2 linked regions of the Callithrix jacchus genome follow. The protein of the gene in region 2 interacts with the protein of the main gene of each other region in a biochemical or structural test. Links are inferred from orthologs where the notes say so. Each region holds a gene or a part of one and is shown on either strand. Other genes may lie near its edges. The genes, in order: CREB1 and PRKACA.

What was found.
Region 1: the proteins of PRKACA (region 2) and CREB1 form a complex in vitro, tested with the Homo sapiens proteins (2 studies listed by BioGRID, with this or other methods). The link is inferred for Callithrix jacchus from reciprocal best matches to the Homo sapiens genes PRKACA and CREB1.

Annotation. Positions count from the first base shown.
Region 1 is NC_133507.1:128,982,212-128,994,297, forward strand, and holds the start of CREB1 (cyclic AMP-responsive element-binding protein 1), read left to right. Parts: upstream 1-4,683; 5' UTR 4,684-4,779; exon of another isoform or gene 4,780-4,895; intron 4,896-12,086.
Region 2 is NC_133523.1:12,878,906-12,890,462, forward strand, and holds part of PRKACA (cAMP-dependent protein kinase catalytic subunit alpha), read right to left. Parts: intron 7,334-11,557; coding exon 7,272-7,333; intron 6,812-7,271; coding exon 6,683-6,811; intron 3,052-6,682; coding exon 2,953-3,051; intron 1,294-2,952; coding exon 1,211-1,293; intron 1-1,210.

The sequences.
Region 1 (12,086 bases), on a different chromosome or scaffold from region 2:
ATGAACTAGGGTAGGCAGGGTTCATGGAACTTGAGTTCATAGTGAGAGTAAAAATTATATTCAACAGCAGAAACAAGAGCAAAAAATAACAGGAAAAGGAAGTTGTGATTATAGAAAAGCTCTCAAATACCACTTTATCTTTGAAGCATTTTATAATCATCTTATGGGACCTTTTCCCTATTCTGGACCTCTTTCAAGATACTTTTCTTACACTCTACCTAGTTACATCCATGTGTGCTCCTCTACTTTCAGCTCCCTGATATTGACCACATTTTCCTATTGGAAAACTGAGTCAAAAATGGGGGTCACCTGTAGTCTCAGCTACTCAGGAGGCTGAGGGCAAGAGAGTTGCTTGAGCCCAGGAGTGCAAGGCTGTCACGCACAATGTCTGCCACTGTGCACAGCCACTGCACTTCAGCCTGAGCAACACAGTGAGAGCCGAATCCCACAAAAAATTTCTTTTACAATGGAGGTGGCTTCCAAATCCCAGAGACAAAACTTGGATGCTGAAAGTAGAAATGTCAGAAAGTAGAGAGGCTGAAAATGCTAGAGTAGACCCAAGAGAGATATGTCAAAGTAGAGAGGTTGAAAATCTGGAGTATACCCAAAATATTAGTAGTAAAATAACTTGCATTGGAATGAATAAAGTTAGGTAGAAAGAGAGGCCATCAGAACAGAAGTCAAGAAGAATTCATGTTTTAATAACTGAGGCCCACTGGTCTGACAGTAAGGCCCAAGTGAATATTGGAAGCTGGCCTTCCACTTAGGAAGTTAGCAAAATAATAGGATCTGAATGAAGGTTAGCATGTATAAAAAGGAAGAATGAATACGAGGACATTTTAAAATAAACACTCACTGGCTGGGTGTGTTGGCTCACGCTTGTAATCCCAGCTCTTTGGGAGGCCGAGGCAGGTGGATCACAAGGTCAGGAGTTCAAGATCAGCCTGGCCAATATGGTGAAACCCCGTCTCTACTAAAAATACAAAAAAGTTGGGTGTGGTGGCGTGCACCTGTAATCCCAGTTACTTGGGAGGCCGAGGCAGGAGAATTGCTTGTACCTGGGAGCAGAGGTTGCAGTGAGCTGAGATCATGCCACTGCACTCCAGCCTGGGCGACAGAGCAAAACTCCATCTCTAAATAAATAAAAAAGTACAATTAAATAAAAACTCACCATATTTGTGGGTGATAATTATAGGTTAAGAGAAAATAATTCCAAAGTTTTGGTATCATGTATACTGTCATGGTAAAAGAGCAGAAAGATGAACTCAATTTTGAAAACGTATTTGACACAAGGCTAGATATCCAAGTAAAAGTTAGTAATAGGTAACATTTTGCTTAACATTGTTCCAAGTACAAACATTCTTCCAAGTATACTTCATATGTATTATGTTATGTAATCATTACAATAACACTACGAGGTAGGCGCTATTATCACCTTTATTTTACAAATGGGAAAACTGAGGCACAAGAGTGAACGATTTGCCCAAAGACATTAGCTAGTAAGTGGCTGAGCCAGTGCAATGAATTCACCACTGCCCCCGCCTCCTGCAAATTCATATTTTGAAATCTTCACCCTAAATGTGATGGTATTAGGAGGTGAGGCCTTTGGGAGGTAAACCCCTTGTGAATGGGATTAGTGCCTTATAAACGGAAACCCTGAGTGCTCTTGCTGTCTTTCTGCATTGTAAGACAAAGATAAAAGACAGCCATCTACAACCCTGAAGAGGGCCTTCACCAGAACCTGACCATGTTGGTAGTCTGATTTCAGACATCCAGCCTCCAGAGCTATGAGAAATAAATGTCTATTGTTTATAAGCCATCAAGTCTATATAGCACTTTATTACAGCAACCTGAACTCACTGAGAGCCAGGATTTGGACTCAAATGTTAAGAACTTTGCCCAGGACAACTCAGAAATTCACTATGTATTCGATAAATATTTAACAAGTAACACTCTATTCCAGACATTGTGCTGTTGCTAGGGATGGGAAAGGAGAGGAAAGGCTGGTAGTGAACAAGACAGATGTGGTCCCTACCTGCACAATTACATGGGCACTAAACAAATAATGAGAAGTATGATGAATTGGAAAGGAAAGTGATAAATTACAGTTAGGTAGGACAAATGGGTGAGAGAAAAGAATTCTATGGGAAGGAAGGGCATGTGTAATTGCCCTGAAGTGAGAGCCTATGGTAGGGAATAAAAAAAGGAGAGCCTGGAAAAAATCAAAATACTATGGCAGGAGTGCAGGCAACTAGGGGGACAGATGGAGAGAAAGACAAGTCTAGATAATGGAGCTTAGACAATGTGTGGTAAGCAAGGGGAGGCCACCAAGGCATTTAAGCAGGTCAATGATTTGATCAGATTTATATTGAAAATATTACTCTGGCAGCAGTATGGCAAATGTATTGGAATGAGGCAAGAGCAGTTTTGGAGGACCTGAATGGGTTATCATAGGACTTCAAGCAAGAGGTGACAGTGGTTTAGACCAGAATGGGAATGAAAAAACAGTCGTGGAAATAGAGGTCACAAATCCAACTTTCCAGGGAGCAGACAGATGTAGGTGATTCTGTTGTGTGTTCGAGGTGTGCTAGGTGTCTGGCATGAACTGAGGAGATGTTAAGATACCCTTAACTGAACCAGGGATTATGGGAGGAGCGTTTTGAAGAGATTATGATATACCGGTTGAGTCTGAAATGCCTTAAGTCATCCAAATGAAAAGTATACCGAAGGCAATCTGTTGGAAATACAAATGGAGGGTTCCAGAGCAAGATCCAAGCTTGAGTTATGGATTGAAGAGTCTTTGACAGAGGGTAGTTGATGCTACTGGAAGAGCATAAGACCACCTAGGAAAGTGTACATGGGAGACTTAGAAAGAGGGCCAGGGTTTAGCTCAGCATGATTCCAATGTATAAGAGGATAGATACAGGAGGAACTGGTTGTTAAAGAGCAAACACAGGTAGGGAGGAAATCTGTGACACAGACCAGAGGGAAAAGTATATTTGGAGAAGAGTGTGGTCAATTGTGTCAAATACTGGGATGAGGGCTTGTAAAATGAGAACTGAAAACGATCCGCTTCATTTACAGACATGAAGCTTGTCTCTTGACAATTCAGAGCCATTCAGGTGAGTGGTGGGGACACTGAAGTGAGCTGGGGAGTGGGATGTGAGAGACTGTCCATGGGGTAAGAGACACCTGGAGTTATTGGAGAGCGATTTAGGGAGAAATCTTTTTAAAGAATTGAGAGACTTAAGCATGTGTAAATGAAAGAGCCGGTAGAGAAGGAAAGATTGAGAGCAACAGAAGGAAAGGAGGCTCGTTAAGGGCAAAGTCCAGAAGAAAACAGTAGGGGACCTAGAGTACCAAGAATAACTCTTTCATTACAAAAGAAGTGAGTCAGGGGCGGAGTCCGGATTTGAACCCTCTCTGCTTCCTAAAGACACATCTCTTTTAGAAAAAGAATGATTAAGACTGGAGGCAGGGAGGGGTGGCTCACGCCTGTAATCCCAGCACTTTGGGAGGCTGAGTCGGGCGGATCACCAGAGGTCAGAAGTTCCAGACCAGCCTGGCCAACATGGTGAAACCCTGTCTCCAGTAAAAATACAAAAATTAGCTGGGCGTGGTGGCGGGTGCCTGTAATCCCAGCTAATTGGGAGACTGAGGCAGGAGAATCGCTTGAACCCGGGAGGCGGAGGTTGTAGTGAGCCGAGATAATAACACTACACTCCAGCCTGGGTAACAAGATTGAGACTCTGTCTCAAAAAAAAAAAAAAAAAAAAAAAGGACTTCAAAGCCCAGAGACAGAGAGAGGGCTGCAGAGTTTACTACCAAGGAGAATGGGGACCTAGTGGTGTGGCCTGGGCAACCTCTAAGAGAGCAGTTCAGTAGTTTCCAGCCACGGAAGTTCCCCTGCTGGGTTCACAGTGCTGAGGGTGCGAATCCCTTGCTGTAGAAAACAGGCTGAGGAAAGAACGCGACACAGGATGTTGTCTGGAGAAAGGCGGGGAGGTGGAATAGGGCATATTTCCAGTGGTCCAGGCAGGCCCGGGCAGAACCCGAGAGGTGCCACGGTATCCGAGCCAACGTCCCCCGGGAAACCATGCCCCGCCGGAGGCCTCCGGGTTTCTCCGCTGAGTCTCCGAAAGGAAAACTCGTCCCCACTGGGTCCCACGACGTCCCCGAACCCCAAGCCCCAGGCCCTGGGACGCTGGCAGAGGCGCAGCAGCCCTTCCTCCCCAGCCTGCACGGCTCCCGCGGTCCGTCCGCGTTCCAGCCGGAGCGGCGCTGCGCCCGCTTGCCGGCGGCGTCGGAAAGTTCCCGGGGCTGGAGGCGCTGAAGGGCAGAGCCCGCGGCTCACCGCCGCAGAGGCAGGCCTGCGCGGGGGTTTCCACTAAGTCGCTGACACCCCTCGGGAATTCCCCACTGGGCCACACACAAACCCCGTTTCCTCCTTCAAATTTCCGCCGCCGGCTTTATCGATTCGAACGCAGCGTAGCGGTTTAGACCACCCCTCCCAGCGCGGGGCTCAACCCGTCTTCGCCTTCCTCTACCGGCGCAACCTCTTCGCCTCGCCCGAAGAAGCCCGAAGGCCTTCGGCAAGTTCCGTCCCCAGCGCGGGGGTGGGGCCGCTCGAGCTCCTCCGGGCCGAGCTCGGCTGTTTCCGTGCGCGGCCGCTGCGCACTCGGCACTGGGCGGCGCTGGCTGGCTCCCTGGCTGCGGCTCCTCAGTCGGCGGCGGCTGCTGCTGCCTGTGGCCCGGGCGGCTGGGAGAAGCGGAGTGTTGGTGAGTGACGCGGCGGAGGTGTAGTTTGACGCGGTGTGTTACGTGGGGGAGAGAATAAAACTCCAGCGAGATCCGGGCCGTGAACGAAAGCAGTGACGGAGGAGCTTGTACCACCGGTAAGAGGAGCAGGAGGAGGAGGCAGGAGCCAGAGAGAGCCGGGGGGACGGAGGGGGGACGGGGAGGCGCCGGACACCCGCGCTTGGGGCCTTCCCCTCGCAGGAGGGGCCGCGGTAAAGATGGAGCCTCCGCCCGAGCCCCACAACATCGCCGCCGCTCGCAGCGAACAAAGAATAATGGCGGCGGACTGGAGCCAGCGGCGGCCGGGGCGGCAGCGACTCTGCCTGCAGCCAGCGGCGGCGCTCATGGCGGGGGGCGGCGGGCGGCGGGCGGCGGGCGGGGTGGGAGCCGGCGGCCGGGGGTGTGTGCGGGCGGCCGGCCGCGGCGAGCTGGCGCCCGCGTTCCCGCCGCCGCCGCCGGGCCGGGCGCGAAGCCGGGAGCCGGGATCCGGGAGCCGCCCCGGGGGAGGCCGCCTGCTCGGCCCTGAGTTGCCCCCAGCGCAGCTCGCTCATCCGGCCCCCGCCGCCCGCCTCGCCCCCGACCCGACCCGGCCCGGCCTCCGGGGCAGCCGCCGCCTGGGTGCCAGTGGGGGTGGAGGAGGAAGAAGGCGACAGTTGAGGGCAGAGGAGGTGAAGGTGCCTGCTGCCTTCCCGGTGGCCTCGCTGTCTGCCATGCCCGCTTCGCAAGGGGAAGAGCTGCAACGTCTGACCTACTCTTCTCTCCACTCTTTGTGCAATAAAGTTCGAAACCCAAGGTTTCCTCTCGTGCTGTATTTTATTCATGCCCTTTCCCTCCCGCTCCCACACCGTTGAGGAAATGCTGCTTTCTGCCCTGTGTTGCTTAGTTGAGAGATGAGGGCTTGTGCCTGGGGGGAATTTTTGACTCCCTCACCCCCTTGCCTTTTTTTTTTTTTTTTTAATTAATCCTGTAGTCATAGAAATGCATGCTTTTTGGGAGAAAGGGTGCTAAAAAAAAACATTTGTAGTAACTTTAAAGAACTGTTGGAATCTTATAAAAGGGAAGCTGGTGTTTGAAAACAGTTTCGGTTTTAACCCTTTTCAATAAGGTAATTATCACTTTGAAACACTTCGTTGAAACGAGTATCAGCGGACGTACTCTTGTTTTACATCATTTCGCGGGGTGCAGCCTTGTCAACCGCGTTTTGGGTCATCTGACTCTCCCTACACCCTCAGTCCCACCCCCCTACCATATTTCCCACAAATTTCTGTGTGAACTTTAATGAGAGACGGAATACTAATTCTAAAAATAGACTTTTAAGTATCCATTATTTGTCTCTCATGCAGTAGGTAACCCCGGTCTTGAGACTGAGAATTTAAGCCACAAGCTGTATTTTTTCTTTGCCTGTTGGGAAAAAAGGACAGCAGAAAAGTCATTTAAAAATTAAAAGACAATTTTTAAAGGACATGTCGTATGACCTATTTAAGTTTGTAATGCCATCCCAAGTTATAATTCTAACCTCGGCTTACGACTGCCTTCTAAAGGTTTAGTGGAAGATACTTTTGATTGCTGCCTCTTGAAATCTTTTATATTTATGGCTCATTTCCTGATTTAAAAGTCAAGCCCCAAGCAGTTATTTTAGGTGGTGCAAAAGATGAACAAGTTTGTTTTAAAAGTATTTGTCTGTCACTGTATGGTTGCATTGTGATTGATACACACAAGGCTTCTGGTTAGGAACAAATATTAATTAGCAGTAGAAACAGTGTCTTATTTTTCTCTATGTAAGTCACTTTTCCAAAACCTGCTTTGCTGTATTGCTTCTCTTTAAAAAAGACCACATTATCAATTTGTCATTGCCAAGAAAATAAGATACAGTAAAGAGAGGTTCTCTATAAATATTGGGAAAATGATTTTACTTCCAATCGCTGAGAAAATTATTACAGTATTGATAATGGTAGGTTACTGTTTTTCCTTAATGATGTTCTGCAAGCCACCATCAGTTGAGTAGAATTTTTTTTCTTGTTAAGCTTATACGCGGTGGCTCATGCCTGTCTGTAATCCCAGCACTTTGGGAGGCCAAGGCGGGCGGATCACCTAAGGTCAGGAGTTCGAGACCAACCTGACCATGGAGAAACCCCGTCTCTACCAAAAATACAAAATTAGCCGGGCGTGGTGGCGCATGCCTGTAATCCTAGCTACTCGTGAGACTGGGGCAGGACAATCGCTTGAACCCGGGAGGCAGAGGTGAGGGTGAGCCAAAATCACACCATTGCACTCCAGCCTGGGCAACAAGAGCGAAACTCCGTCTCAAAAATAGTAATATACGCCGGGCGCAGCGACTTATGCCTGTAATCCCAGCATTTTGGGGGGCCTGGGTGGGCGGATGACTTGAGGTCAGGCGTTGGAGACCAGCCTGACCAACATGGTGAATCTAGTCTCTACTAAAAAAAAAAAAAATTAGCCGGGTGTGGTGGCTCGCGCCTATAATTCCAGCTACTCGGGAAGCTGAGGCAGGAGAATTGCTTGAACCCAGGAGGCAGAGGTTGTAGTGAGCCAAGATCGTTCCACTGCACTTCAGCCTGGGTGACCGAGTGAGACTCCATCTCAAAAAAAGAAAAAAAAACCACAAAAAATTGTTTACTGATATGTTCTTTCTTTAGTCTTGCCCAAGAGATATTTTCATTTATTTATTTATTTATTTATTTATTTATTTGAGATGGAGTTTTACTCTTGTTGCCCAGGATGGAGTGCAGTGGCGCTGTCACGACTCACTGCAAGCTCTGCCTCCCGGGTTTAAGCGGGCCTCTGCCTCCGGAGTAGCTGGGATTATAGACTCCCATCTCAAAATTAAAATATATATATATATGTGTGTGTGTGTGTATATATACACATATATATATGTGTGTGTGTATATATACGTATATATACACGTATATATACGTATATATGTATATGACTCTTCCTTTGTGAGATTTTTAAAAAATTGTTTACTGATGGCTGGGCACGGCGGCTCGTCGTAATCCCAGTACTTTGGGAAGCCGAGGCAGGCGGATCACGAGGTCAATAGATGGAGACCATCCTGGCCAACATGGTGAAACCCCGTCTCTACTAAAAATACAAAATTTAGCGGGTCTCGTCGCACATGCCTATAATCCTAGCTATTCTGGAGGCTGAGGCAGGAGAATCTCTTGAACCCCGGGAGGCAGAGGGTTGCAGTGAGCCGGGATTGCGCCACTGCACTCCAGCCTCGGCAACAAGAGCGAGACTCCGTCTTAAAACACAACAAAAAATTGTTTACTCATGTGTTCTTTCTCTAATCTTGCCCAAAAGTTAGTTTATTTGAGACGGAGTTTCGCTCTTGTTGCCCAGGATGCAGTGCAGTGGCGCTGTCGCAACTCACTGTAAACTCTGCCTCCCGGGTTTAAGCGAATCTCAGGCTTCAACCTACCGAGTAACTGGGATTACACAGCCTCCGTCTCAAAATTATATATATACATATATGTGTATATACATATACACACACACACATACATATACCTCTTCATTTGTGAGGTTTTCTTTTGTTTACTGATGGCCAGGCGCTGCGGCTCATCCCTGTAATCCCAGTACTCTGGAAACCCAAGGCGGACCGATCACAAGGTTAATAGATGGAGACCATCCTGGCCAACATGGTAAAACCCCATCTCTACTAAAAATACAAAAATTAGTGGGTCTGGTGGTGCATACCTATAATCCCAGCTACTCGGGAGGTGGAGGTTGCAGTGAGCCGAGATCGTCCCACTGCACTCCAGTCTGGTGACAGAGCGAGACTCCGTCTCAAAAAAAAACAAAAAACAAAAATCGTTTGCTGATACGTTCTTTTTTAGTCATGCCCAAGAGATATTTTAAAATATTTGAGATAGAGTTTGGCTCTTGTTGCCCAGGATGGAGTGCAGTGGAGTGGTGGCAACTCACTGCAAGCTCCGCTTACAAGGTTTAGAGGAATCTCCGGTCTCAGCCTCCCAAGTAGCTGGAATTACAGACTCCGTCTCAAAATTTACATACATACATACATACATATATGTATGTATGTATGTATATATGACTTTTCGTTTGTTAGATTTTTTAAAAATTGTTTACTGATGGCCGGACATGGTGGCTCCCGCCTGCGATTCCAGTACTTTGGGAAACCGAGGTGGGACGGTCTTGAGTTCAATCGATTGAGACCATCCTGACCAACATGGTGAAACCCCATCTCTATTAAAAATACAAAAATTATCAGATCTGGTGGCCCGTGCCTATAATTCCAGCTACTCAGGAGGCCAAGGCAGGAGAATTGCTTGAACCCGGGAGGCAGTGGTTGCGTTGAGCCAAGATCGCGTCACTGTACTCCAGCCTGGCAACAGAGTAAGACTCCGTCTCAAAAAAATTTTAAAAAATTTGCTGATAGGTTCTTTCATTAGTCTTCCCCAAGAGTTATTTATTTATTTATTTATGAAGGATGGAGTGTCCTTGTTGCCCAGGATGGAGTGCAGTGGCGCAGTCGTGGCTCACTGCAAGCTCCGCCTCCCAGGTTCAAATGAATCTCGGCCTCAGCCTCCGGAATCGCTGGAATTACAGGCACAGGCCACCATGCCAGGCTAATTTTTGTATTTTAGTGGAGACGGGATTTCACCGTATTGGCCGGGTTGGTCTTGAAGTCCTGATCTCAGGTGATCTGCCCACCTACACCTTCCAAAGTGCTTGGATTACAGGTGTGAGCCGCCATGCCTGATCTACTTTATTATTTATACATTTATAATTTGTGATTCTTAGGAATTCCAGGTGAGACTTCAAACTTTTATATTCATTAATATTTGAACATTCATCTGGAACATGTTACTAAGTTGTACTTCCGTACTGTCCCAGCCATCAGTAAAAATTACAGCTGGATCTGCTTGAATTTTTTTTTTTTTTCATGAACACCTGTATTTAGAAAGCTAATAAATTATTTGACAGAACTGGCCTGAAGAATGTTAAAAGAACACCTCTTTGGGAATTTAAAACTTGTTACCTGTTTTGAATGAATTTTTTATTCCATTAGGAGCCTGAAAAAACTTAGAAAATTGATTTATAAAAATGGCACCTTTCTTTTTATACTTTCTGAAACTCATATTCTTGATTAGGTCTCATTAGAATTTTTGGTTTCTTCATAGAAAAGTAGCTTTATTTGTCTCTCATTCTTAAGACATTTGGTTTTGTTTGGGTACAGTATGGTTATGGTAAAACCGAGTATGTGTTCTCCTTCACCTATTTTTAAATTTTTCCTCCTCATTATAACAGTAGAGAAAATTATTTTTAACCTAATGCTTATGGTATATTACTGACATTTATAATTTTATTTATTCCATAAATAGCTTATCAAATATGAGTTGCATAAACTTTTTTACAGCCAGTTTGTGACATAGTTTTGCAAATACCTTGATAAATGGTGTAACTTTCATGGCTTCTTTATTGAATAGAGCTCAAATCTAAATTTAGGAACATAGCAAGATGTAAGGATGGAAAATGCAGGATTTTTTTTTTCTTACCCACCTGTGAACTCATCTTTACTACAGTATCACTTGAGACAACAGTTTATGGTAATTAAAATATTTATTTAGCACTCACTGTGACAGAGAATGTAGTTGAAATAGCATGAGGTTTGGAATCACAGGCCTGGGTCTGAATCCAAGCATTGCCACTACTATCATGTGCCTACCCTAAAGGAATTTTGTGTCCCAAAGGAAGTTTCTTAATCTTTCTCAACCTCAGTTTCCTCATATGTAATAATATGTTATAATAATACTTACTTCATAAGATTGTGAGAGATACAGAAAGTACCTTAGGGCTATAACTAATGATAGCTAGTCCCTTAAGCTTTATTTTAACTTCCTGCCTGTGGGCTCTTGGGCAAGTTATTTTAACTTCTCAATACCTCACTTGCTTTGCTGATCAATGTAGAATAACTACTTTAGAATTGTGGGGTTAACTATAAAGTAATAACATATTAAATTCCAGACATTGTACAAGTGCTCAAGGGTTGGCCAGGTTTTTTTGTTTTAATTTTTTTCCTGAAGTGGAATCTTGCTCTGTTGCCCAGGCTGGTGTGCAGTGACATGATCGCAGCTCACTGCAACCTCTGCTTTCTGGGTTCAAGTGATTCTCCTGCCTCAACCTCCCTAAGTAGCTGGAACTACAGGCACACACCACCACGCCTGGCTAATTTTTGTATTTTTAGTAGAGATAGGGTTTCACCATGTTGGTCAGGCTGGTCCTGAATGCCTGGGATTATAGGTGTCAGCCACCACACCTAGCTGGTCTGTTATTTAAAAAAAATTTTTTTTTTTTTATAAAGGTGGGGTTTCACCATGATGGCCAGGCTGGTCATGAACTCCTGACCTCAGGTGATCCACCCACCTCGGCCTCGCAAAGTGTTAGGATTACGGGCGTGAGCCACTGAGCCCGGCCATTTTAAAAATTATTTATTACTACTTTATGTAATACAGTGGGTCAGAAGCTACAACAAATCCAGAGATGAATTACACTGTCTTATCTCTACCCTCAAGGAACTGTTGGGGACATAGTGACTAAGGCAAAGTATTTGTCATAAGAAAGCAGTCAAAGGAAAAAGTGATTACCTTTGGTGAAGTAAAGAGTATATTTTTTATATTTCCAGTTTGGTTTTTTGAGTAAGTCATTCAGGTGGTATGTAATTCAAAACATAAAATATAATGCAGCAAAATGCCCTACATTCTCTTGCCCGATTACCTAAGTGTTAGCAATTTTTTATTTGTCCTTTCAGAGGTATTTAATTAATGCAACCACAATCAATTATTCATGTACTGTCTCCCCCTTTTTGTACAAATGGTAGCATACTACATGTACACTCTTCTCCTATATCATGCTTTTACCTCACCACTTAATATGGCTTGGCAATTCTGTATCAACACATAAAGAGCCTCTTCATTTTTTAACATACAATTTGAGGCATTTTATTATATAAGGAGACTTTATTAAGTAGTTTGTGAGCTGATTCTATTTTTAGGTTATATGACCTTTTAAACTCAGGTAAACTGCCATTTTGCCTTTATTTCTTTAAATGAAAAACTTTATTTGAATGAAAACTAATAGTTCGTGACAGGAAATTGTTATTTGAAGTGCCTCATTTCCTGTTTAGCTCCAGTTTCTAAAAGTTTTAGTAAAATGATCAAGATATATATGAGGAGGCAAGCAAGCCAGGTTAAGAATTAGCTCACAAGGTGAATTTAACTCTTCTGTTGAGGTTCTTACAG
Region 2 (11,557 bases):
TAGAGACAGGGTTTCACCATGTTAACCAGGATGGTCTCGATCTCTTGACCTTGTGATCCACCTGCCTCGACCTCCCAAAGTGCTGGGATTATAGGCGTTAGCCACCATGCCCAGCCTTAATTTTTTTTTTTTTTTTTGTAGAGATGGGGTTTCACCATGTTGGCCAGGCTGGTCTCGAACTCCTGACCTCATGATCCGCCCACCTCGGTCTCCCAAAGTGCTGGGATTACAGAGGTGAGCCACTGTGCCCAACCTCAAATTCTTGAGCTCAAGTGATCTTCTGGCCTCAGCCTCAAGAATAGTGGGACTACAGATGCATGCCACTTTTGGGGGCTCAAAAAAAATGCACAAAATCACCAACTGCAATTTTTTTTTTTAAGACAGAGTTTCACTCTTGTTGCCCCAGGCTGGAGTGCAGTGGTATGATCTCACCGCCACTTCTGCCTCCCGGGTTCAAGCCATTCTCTTGCCTCAGCCTCCTGAGTAACTGGGATTGTAGGTGCATACCAACATGCCTGGCTGATTTTTTTGTATCTTGTAAAGACACAAGATTTTTTGTAACTTGTAAAGACAAGTTTCATCATGTTGGCCAGACTGGTCTCGAACTCCTGACCTCAGGTGGATCTACCTGCCTCGGCCTCCCAAAGTGCAGGGATTACAGGCGTGAGCCACTGCACCTGGCCAATTTTTTTTTTTTTTGAGATGGCATGTCGCTCTGTCACCAAAGCTGGAGTGCAGTGGTGTAACCTCAGCTCAATGCAATTTCTGTCTCAGGGTTCAAGCAATTCTCCTGCCTCAGCCTCCCAAGTAGCTGTGATTACAGGTACCCACCACCCCACCCAGCTAATTTTTGTATTTTTAGTAGAGACAGGATTTCACCATGTTGACCAGGCTGGTCTCGAACTCCTGACCTTAGGTGATCTGCCTGCCTCGGCCTCCCAAAGTGCTGGGATTACAGGCGAGAGCCACTGCGCCTGGCACCAGCTTCAATCTGGACACCTAAGTTGCCATGTTTGCTCTGTTTGGCTTTGTGGTGGTTGAAGTATCACTCATTTCTCAGCATAGGGGAAGCAGAAACCCACAGAGTTCTGGGAGCTCACTTGCGTGTTCAAGCATGCTGGACTCCTCTGCATCCCCAGGGGTCTTGGTCGTGCACTGCCACCTGTGGACACCCTGACAGCCTGGTGTGATGGGGGGGTGGCCCGCTTACCTGAACCTTCCAATCCGCCGTAGGTGTGAGAACATCTCCCCGCCAGGCACGTACTCCATGACCATGTATAAGTTTGAGTTGTCCTGTGGGAGGCAGCGGCTGATCAGGAGCCCACTCCCTGAACCTCCCACCATATCTGAAGGCCTTGGGGCCTCCCTGGCTGGTGTTCAAACATTAAATGACAACAGGGATCCTGGCTCCCCATAGGAATCATGTTCTAGGGACCAGGTGCTTTGCTGGCTGAACCCACATGTTGCATTTCATTCTGCCCAGGAAGCACGGTTGACCCTCATCCTACTGTCATAAAGGTGAAGGCGAGGGCTGACTCAGTGGTATGTCGGGACCTGGCTAGCCTGCCCTGGCTGGAGAGAGAGAACTCCGAAGTAGCTTGCTCTGGGAGCTTGAGTAAGGCTTTGAGGCCACAGTTTTGTCATCTGTAAAGCAGGACCATGATGGGCTGCAGAATTAGTGGGGCCCAAAATTAAAAAGGTGACCCTTGTTAGAAAGATTATTACAGAGGGCCAGGTGTGGTGGTTCATGCCCGTATAATCCCAGTACTTTGGGAGGCCGGGGTGGGTGGATCGCTAGAGCCTGGGAGTTTGAGACCAGCCTGGGTAACACAGTAAGAGCCCTGTCTATACGAAAATTAGCTGGGCATCATGGTGTGCACCTGCAGTTCCAGCTACTCAGGAGGCTGAGGTGGGAGGATCGCTGCAGTCCGGGAAGTGAAGGTTGCAGTGAGCTGTGATTACACCACTGCACTCCAGCCTGGGTGACAGAGTGAGACTCTGCCTTAAAAAAAAAATTAGGCTGGGCATAGTGGCTGAGGCCAGGGCGGGCAGATCACTTGAGGTCGGGAGTTTGAGACCAGCCTGAGCAAAATGGCAAAATCTTATCTCTATTAAAAATACAAAAATTAGCTGGACATAGTGGCATGCACCTGTAATCCCAGCTACTCAGAAGGCTGAGTCAGGAGAATTGCTTGAACCCGGGAGGTGGAGGTTGTAGTGAACTGAGATCACGCCACTGCACTCCTGCCTGAGCAACAGAGTGAGACTCTGTCTCAAAAAAAAAAAAAAAAAAAAAAAAAGAGAAAAAAATTATTAAGGGTCTCAAGGTAGCAGGAGCAGCAGCGGCAAAGCATTAAACCAGGTGTGGGGTCCCTTGAAGCGCAGGCCCTTGTGATTCTCTGGGTCAGGCAGCAATGAAATTGGCCCTGAGTGGTCTCTCCTGTTTCTCATGATCACAGCCTTGGATGGCTCCCAAAATGGCTCCCAAAGGGTACTCAAGATGTGGCTGGAACTGTCGCAACTCCACCAGGCTGGAACTGGTATGATCCCCATTTTACAGATGAGAACTGAGGCTCAGGGAGAGAAGTCCCTTGCTCAGGGCCACACATCGGGAAGTACTGAGCTGGGAACTGAATCCTGGCTGCCTGGGGCGAAGTTTGTGCTCCTGGCTGTGGGTCAGGCTCTTGCTGTAAACCAGGTGCTGATTTTGAGGGATGTTATTGAGGTTCGGTAACTTGCCAAGGGAATTAACTACAAACTGGCCAGTCCAGGAACTGAAGTGGGGTCCACCAGAGTCCCAGCCTGACTCCCATCCCCTGGTCTCCCTCCTCCAGCGATCTTCTTCCACAAAAGTGGGTGGCCACTGATTGTCCTCAGCTCTGACCCTAGCCCTGGGGGCCGGAAGGCTAGGACCCAATGCAGTGACCCCGTCCCTTGGCGCGGGGACCCCACCTTGAAGGAGAACTCCAGTCTGACGAGGAACGGAAAGTTGACGGCTTGCAGGATGCGCTTTTCATTCAGGGTGTGTTCTATCTGTTTCAGCTTTACCACCTGGGAAGGGTAGGAGGGGAGGGCAGAGAGGAAGGAGAGGTGAGAGGGGCCTCATTTCCCCTGATGCCTGGAACTAGCGGTGCCAGGGCCTGGCTGGGTCCTTCAGCCAGAATCATTTGCATGCCTGTGGCCTGTTGGGCCCGTGGCTGATGCTGAGGACACAGTGTAAGGGAGGCTAGAGGCTGCTTGTTCTTGCATGGCTCAGAGTTCAGGGCAAAGAATACATGGGTTACCCCCAGAGAGGTCAGAGCCATGATGGCAGGCATCTTGGGCTTGTGGAGAAGCAGCAGCCCCTAAGGAGCCCACATAAAGTACCTGGCATGGTTTGGGGGAGGGGGAACCAGAGAGGGCTTCCTGGAGGAAGGGGCAGCTGAGCTGAAATTGAAAAGACAGGCAGGAGAAGACCAAGAGGTGAGGGATTTAGGAACTGCCTTTCCATTGTCTAGAACATTCCACACAGCAACATGAACCTCAGCCATCAGCTGTCCCCTACAGCACATGACTTGAGCAGGTACCTGGCACCTAGTCTCTCACGGAATCAAAATAGGAGTCCTAGAGGCCCACACTGGGAGGATACCAGTTTAAAAGACCAGACATAGGCTGGTGCGGTGGCTCACGCCTATAATCCCAGCACTCTGGGAGGCCAAGGCGGGCGGATCACCTGAGGTAGGGAGTTCGAGACCAACCAGACCAACATAGAGAAACCCTGTTTCTGCTAAAAAAAAAAAAAAAATACAAAATTAGCTGGGCGTGGGGGCACATGCCTGTAGCCCCAGCTACTCAGGAGGCTGAGGCAGGAGAATCACTTGAACCGAGAAGGGGGAGGTTGCGGTGAGTCGAGATCATGCCATTGCACTCCAGCCTGGGCAACAAGAGCGAAACTCCGTCTCAAAAAAAAAAAAAAAAAAAACCAAACAAACAAATAAACATATCATTAGACCAGCTGCAGTGGCTTATGCCTGTAATCCCAGCACTTTGGGAGGCCAAAGTGGATGGGTCACCTGAGGTCAAGAGTTTGAGACCAGCCTGACCAACATGGCAAAACCCTATCTCTACTAAAAATACAAAAATTAGCTGGGCATGGTGGTGAACACCTGTAATTCCAGCTCCTTGGGAGGCTGAGGCACGAGAATTGCTTGACCCCAGGAGGCAGAGGTTGCAGTGAGCTGGGATCGCACCATTACACTCCAGCCTGGGCGACAAGAGCGAAACTCTGTCTCAAAAACAAAATAAAAATGGAACGCTTGATGTAGGGACTGGGTGACTTTCAGGCATGGTTGGAACATCTTGGGCACGTGAATCTGCTTTTTCAACTTCTCTATTTTTTCTCATCTTTCCAGGGAGAATTTACCATCAGAGTGGAGACCTGTTGTACGCATACGGTGGACACTGGTTTTAAAGATACTTTGGTACAGAGAAAGAGAAAACGTTTCCAAAATCATGGAGGACTGGAAAAAAACCTAAAGGAATGTAAACTGTCTCATTAATGATATTTCACATTGATATTCTATGAAAATGGTGACACTATAGCTATACTGGCTTAATTCAAACACATCATGCCGGGTGCGGGGGCGCACACCTATAATCCCAGCACTTTGGGAGGCTGAGGTGAGCAGATCACCTGAGGTCAGGAGTTCAAGACTAGCCTGGCCAACATGGTGAAACCCTTTCTCATTTTTTTTTTTTTTGAGATGGAGTCTCACCCTATCCCTCAGGCTGGAGTGCAATGGCACAATCTAGGCTCATGGCAACCTCTGCCTCCTGGGTTCCAGCAATGCTCCTGCTTCAGCCTCCCAAGTGGCTGGGGTTACAGGTGCCCGCCACCATGTCCAGATAATTTTGTTTTTTGCTCATTTTTGTATTTTCAGTGAGATGGGGTTTCACCATGTTGGCCAGGCTGGTCTTGAACTCCTGACCTCAGGTGATCCACTGACCTCAGCCTCCCAAACTGCTGGGATTACAGGCATGCGCCACCTTGCCTGGTGGTGAAACCCTTTCTCTATTAAAAATACAAACATTAGCCAGGCGTGGTGGTGCATGCCTGTAGTTCTAGCTACTTGGGAGGCTGAGGCAGGAAAATCACTTGAACCTGGAAGGTGGAAGTTGCAGTGAGCTGAGATGGCACCATTGCACTCCAGCCTGGGCAACCAACCAGACATATCATTAGGCCAGGTGCAGAGGCTCACACCTGTAATCCCAGCACTATGGGAGGCCAAAGTGGGTGGGTCACCTGAGGTCAGGAGTTTGAGACCAGCCTGACCAACATGGCAAAACCGCATCTCTACTAAAAATACAAAAATTAGCCAGGCATGGTGGTGGACACCTGTAATACCAGCTACTTGGGAGGCTGAGGCAGGAGAATCACTTGAACCAGGGAGGTGGAGGTTGCAGTGAGATGAGATCACACCATTGCACTCCAGCCTGGGCGACAAGAGTGAGACTCTCTCAAAAAACAAAACAAAACAACCCAAAACATGTCATTAAAATGAACTTCATGAATGTCACTAGTTTCTTTCACTTTCTTTTTTAATTACAGGTTTTTTTTTTTACAAGATAGGGTCTGACTGTTTTGTCTAGGCTGAGTTCAAACGACCCTCCCACCTCAGCCTCTTTAGTAAGTAGCTGGGACTGCAGGCGTGCGCCACCATGCCTCTTTTTACTGTTTTTGATGGAGCAAACCGTAAAGTAAAATCACTTCTGTGGCTTGGGTTACATTTCTATTGGTTACATTGCTGCTTTATAGCAGTGCCTGGTATTAAGTTAGGTCACAAAAATATTTGCAGGAAGAAAGTCCACGTAAACACCACTTCCCCCAAGAATGCTCTTGGCCTCCTCCCTTTGGGCTGGTGTCTGACTCTGTGTCACAGTGCCTGGCTTCGAATCCATGGCTGGCCTGGAGAGGGAGCCTTGGGAAAGCAGAATAAGGCCCTTCTGACCCCTGGAGATGGCATGTTATGGGGATTAGGGGAATAGTGGGTGAGCCTGGCATGGTGGCTCATGCCTGTAATCCCTGCACTTTGGGAGGCTGAGGTAGGAGGATCAGTTGAGGCCAGGAGTTCAAGACCAGCCTGGGCAATATAGCAAGACCCCCTGTCAGGCATGGTAGTGTGTGCTTGTAGTCCCAGCTACCAGGAGGATCGCTTGAGCTCAGGAGGTTCAGGCTGCAGTGAGCTCTGAGTGCATCACTACACTCCTGCTTGGGCCAACGGAATGAAACCCTGTCCCCTCCCCCGAAAACAAAGCAAGTGGCCAGGTGCGGTGGCTGATGCCTGTAATCCCAACACTTTGGGGGGCTGAGGCAAGTGGATCACCTGAGGTCAGGAGTTCAAGACCGTCCTGGCCAACATGGTGAAACACCATCTCTACTAAAAATACAAAAATTAGCCAGGCATGATGGTGGGCACCTGTAATCCCAGCTACTCAGGAGGCTGAGGCAGGACAATTGCTTGAATCCGGAAGGGGGAGGTTGCAGTGAGCTGAGATTGTACCACTGCACTCCAGCCTGAGTGACAGAGTGAGACTGTCTCAAAAAAGGCAAGTGAGTGAATGGGTGGAATGGGGACTCCAAAGAGTAGACATAGTCCAGGCCAAGGCCTGGCAGGCAGGACCTGAGCGGGGCGGGCCGGCTCACCTTCTGTTTGTCGAGGATCTTCATGGCATAGTGGTTCCCGGTCTCCTTGTGTTTCACCAGCATTACCCGCCCGAAGGAGCCCGTGCCGAGGGTCTTGATTCGTTCAAACTGATCCAAGTGGGCTGTGTTCTGTCGGCAGAGGGGTCAGCAGGCTCAGGGCATACCCTCCCTGCAGCCTCCCGGGCTAAGGTCTGGGGCATCCTCTCCACCACCGGCAGAGGGGGCCCCGGGGAGCACATGGGCTGAGCGGGGTGAGGACAGGGGGTGGAAAATCAAGATGGCAGAGATTCCTTAAGGCGGGTGGCAGGGGCCAGATCCGGCTCTGGCCTAGGGCCCGGGAGCTGCTGGCAGCTGTGCTGGGGGCAGGGGCGGGCCGTTGGAAGGGGTGGTGGGATAGGGGTGCCTGGGATTCGGCAGTCAGGTGTCTCCATGCAGGAGCCCCCATGGGCACCTAGGGAGTCAATGGGGAGGGTGTGGAGCCTTCCACGGGGTTCCTGAAATTCTAGCTGTGTCACAGGGACACAGCCAGGGGACTGGGGGGTCACCAGCTCACCCCTCCCTCCCTGGGCTCTGCACCTGGCAGCCTTACCTGAGCGGGACTTTCCCATTTTTTAAGAAAATCTTCTTTGGCTTTGGCTAAGAATTCTTTCACTGAAAGGGAGAGAAGGGAGAGTTAGAGAACCCCGTCGCGCCGAGGTGGGTTCAGGTGATTTCTGGGGAGATACTTGGTAGAAAGTGGGGTGCAGCTGCCTCAACCGGGAACCTGAGGTTCTGGTGCCTCTCAGGGCCCTGGTTGGGCCTCCCTTGCTCCAGAGAGGTGGGATCCAAACACCACTCCATGCAAAGTGGGGTACAGAGAGTCTCAGGGGGTCACTCCCAGGGGAACAGAGAGAGGCGTCCAGGCAGGCCAGCCCACCCCCACTCGCCCCAGTTCTGACCGACATTCCACGGCCAGGGCCGGCGCCAGCTGGGGTATTTATAGCCTTGGGATTTGGCGGTTCCTCCAGCGCCTTCTCTGGGGAGGCCGGGCCTGGGGTGGAGGCCTCAGGGGCTCGGGTAGCAGGCGCCCTTGGGGGGCTCAGCTGTCACCTTGGCCCCCAGCTGGCCCTGTTCTCTCTGTGCCAATCCCAAGGGCTTTGCTCCAGAGCTGGTTCAAGGGAAGTCCCTCCCGATGCCCACTCCTCGGCCCCACGGCACCCCAAGGTGAACATCGCCACCCAGCTAATGTTGAAAGTTCCCCGGCCGGCCGCTGTCCACACTGTCTCATCTGAATGCCTTGCCAGCCTGTCTTGTATCCACGGCCTCCATTTAGCAACCCAGGAAACAGGCTTGAAAACCGTCATTCTCATCTCTGCTGAGACACAGCCCAGCAAAGCAGCTGTGGGCCAAGACCTGGAGACAAGATCCAGTTCAGAGCCCAGCCTGGTCTCCGATGAACTTCATGACTTTGGGCAACTGATCTTACCTCTCTAGGCCTCAGTTTTCCTCATCTGCAAAATGGGGTAGTTTTGAGGAATGAACGAGTTCATCTTGGCAAAGGGGGTTAGACAGTGGCCCACATGATGTTAGTGCCAGATAAATGTCAGCTATTATTATTTTATTTATTTATTTATTTATTTTTTAGAGACAGAGTTTTGCTCTCTCGCTCAGGCTGGAGTGCAGTGGTGTGATCTCCGCTCACTGCAACCTCTGCCTCCTGGGTTCAAGCGATTTTCCTGCCTCAGCCTCCTGAGTAGCTGGGATTTCAGGCACCCACCACCATGCCTGGCTAACTTTTGTATTTTTAGTAAAGACAGGGTTTCACCATGTTGGCCAGGCTGTCACAAACTCCTGACCTCAGGTGATCTGCCCACCTTGGCCTCCCAAAGTGCTGGGATTACAGATGTGAGCCATCGTGCTGGCCTACTATTTTTTAATTGAAGTATAAAATATGGGAAGACAGGCCAGGTACAGTGGCTGATGTCTGTAATCCCAGAACTTTGGGAGGTTGAGGCAGGTGGATCACTAGGTCAGGAGTTCAAGACCAGCTTGGTCAATGCAGTGAAACACCGTTTCTACCAAAAGTGCAAAAAAATTAGCCAGGCATGGTGGCACGCACCTGTAATCCCAGCTACTTGGGAGGCTGAGGCAGGAGAATCACTAGGACCAGGGAGGCTGAGGCAGGAGAATCACTTGGACCAGGAGGCAGAGGTTGCAGTGAGCTGAGATCACACCATTGCACTCTAGCCTGGGTGACAGAGCAAGGCCCTGTCTTCAAAAAAAAAAAAAAAAAATTACCCAGGTATGGTGGCACATGCCTGTAATTCTAGCTACTCAGGAGGCTACGGCAGAAGAACTGCTTGAACCCAGGAGGCGGAGTTTGCAGTCAGCCGAGATCGCACCACTGCACTCCAGTTTAGGTAACAGCAAGACTTGGTCTTGGAAAAAATAATTAAATAAATAAATAATTTTTAAAAGGGCAGATGTGGTGGCTCATGCCTGTAATCCCAGCACTTTGGGAGGCCGAGGCGGGCAGATCACCTGAGGTCAGGAGTTCAAGATGATCCTGGCCAACATGGTGAAACCCCATCTCTACTAAACAAATATACAAAAATGAGCCAGGCATGGTGGCAGGCGCCTGTAATCCTAGCTACTTGGGAGGCTGAGGCAGGGGAATTGCTTGAACCCACGGGGTGAAGATTGCAGTGAGCCAAGATTGCACCATTGCACTCCAGACTGGCAGACAGGAGTGAGACTGAGTCTTAGAAAAATAAAAATAAAAAAGCAAAAATAAATAAATATGGGGAGAGACGGGGCAAGGTGGTTCATGTCTGTAATTCCAGCACTTTGGGAGGCCGAGGCGGTTGGATCACTTGAGGTCATGAGTTTGTAACCAGCCTGGCCAACATGGTGAAATCCCATGTCTATTAAAAATACAAAAATTCGCCGGGCATGGTGGTGGGTGCCTGTAATCCCAGCTATTTGGGAGGCTGAGGCAGGAAGATCTCTTGAACCTGGGAGGTGGAGGTTGCAGTGAGTGGAGATCATGCTGCTGCACTCCAGCCTGGGGGACAGAGTAAGACTCTGTCTCAGAAAAGTTCCAGCTACTCAGGAGGCTGAGGCAGGAAGATCATTTAAAGCCTGGGAGATTGAGGTTGCAGTGGGCTGTGATCATACCACTACACTTTAGCCTCAGCGGCACAGTGAGACTGTCTCAAAAAAATAATTATACCCTGGGAGGCCAAGATGGAGGGATTGCTTGAATACAGGAGCCCAAGACCAGCCTGGACAACATCAAAACCCTGTCTCTACAAAAAATAAAAAGCATTGGCCAGGTGCGGTGGCTCACACCTGTAATCCCAGGACTTTGGGAGGTTGAGGTGGGTGGATCACCTGAGGTAAGAGTTCGAGACCAGCCTGACCAACATAGTGAAACCCCATCTCTACTAAAAATATAAAAATTAGCCGGGCGTGGTGGAATATGCCTATAATCCCAGCTACTTGGGAGGCTGAGGCAGGAGAATCATTTGAACCCAGGAAGTGGAGGTTGCAGTGAGCTAAGACTGTGATATTGCACTCCAGCCTGGGCAAGAAGAGGGAAACTCCATCTCAAAAAAATAAAAAATAAAAAATAAATTAGCTGGGTGTAGTGGTGGGCACCTGTAGCTTTAGCTACTCAGAAGGTAGCGGTGGCAGGGCTGCTCAAGCCCGGGAGGTCGAGGCTGCAGTGAGCCGTGGCTGAGCCTGCACTCCAGGCTGGATGACAGAGTGAGGCCCTGTCTCAAAACAAACAAACAAACAAAAAAGAAAGTAGTAATAATAATAAGAAAACAAATGAGGGGATACATTGAGTGCTCGAATTTTAAATGTGCAGCCTGAGAGATTCTTACACTATGGACTTGTCCTTTTAACCACCACCTAGGGCTACAAGGGACCAGCCCTCACTGTGTTTTCTATGCTTTGTTCTGACCCTATGGGGTGGGAGCTGCTGTTATTCCCACTGTACACAGGAGAAGACTGATCAGGTCTGCGGTCACCTGCCTGCCCCAACTTCCCATGAGATTAACTATTTCACTGCCAACTCAGCCGCTGGTTTCAGCACCAAGTCTAGTGCACCAGGGTGGCCAATGTGGGCAGAGCTGTCTTCAACCCCCTGATGTTCCTGGGTTTGCTACCACTCTGAGGGGCCCCATGCATCTGCACTTTGGGACTGCTGGTCGTCTACCTGCCAGGAATCCCACATGGTCTTCTGAGAAGGGGGAACCACCCTCACTACTTGTCCCCAAGGCTCTCCCTCAGCATTTAGAGAGCAGAGCCCTCACTGGGCTAGAAAGTGGTAGACTGCGGCCGGGCGCGGTGGCTCACACCTGTAATCCCAGCACTTGGGGAGGCCAAGGAGGGTGGATCACAAGGTCAAGAGATCGAGACCATCCTGGTCAACAAGGTGAAACCCCGTCTCTACTCAAAATAAAAAAATTAGCTGGGCATGGTAGCACATGCCCGTAATCCCAGCTACTCAGGAGGCTGAGGCAGGAGAATTGCTTGAACTCAGGAGGCGGAGGTTGTGGTAAGCCGGGATCGTGCCATTGCACTCCAGCCTGGGTAACAAGAGTGAAACTCCGTCTCAAAAAAAAAAAAAAGAAAGAAAGTGGTAGACTGGGTCAGGCGCAGTGGCTCCCCGCCTTTAAACCCAGCACTTTGTGAGGCTGAAGCGGGCGGATGGATCACAAGGTCAGGAGTTCGAGACCAGCGTGACTAATGTGGTGAAACCCCATCTCTACTAAAAATACAAAAATTAGCTGGGCATGGTGGTGTACGCCTGTAATCCCAGCTACTCAGGAGGCTGAAGCGGGAGAATTGCTTGAACCCGGGAGGTGGAGGTTGCAGTAAGTTGAG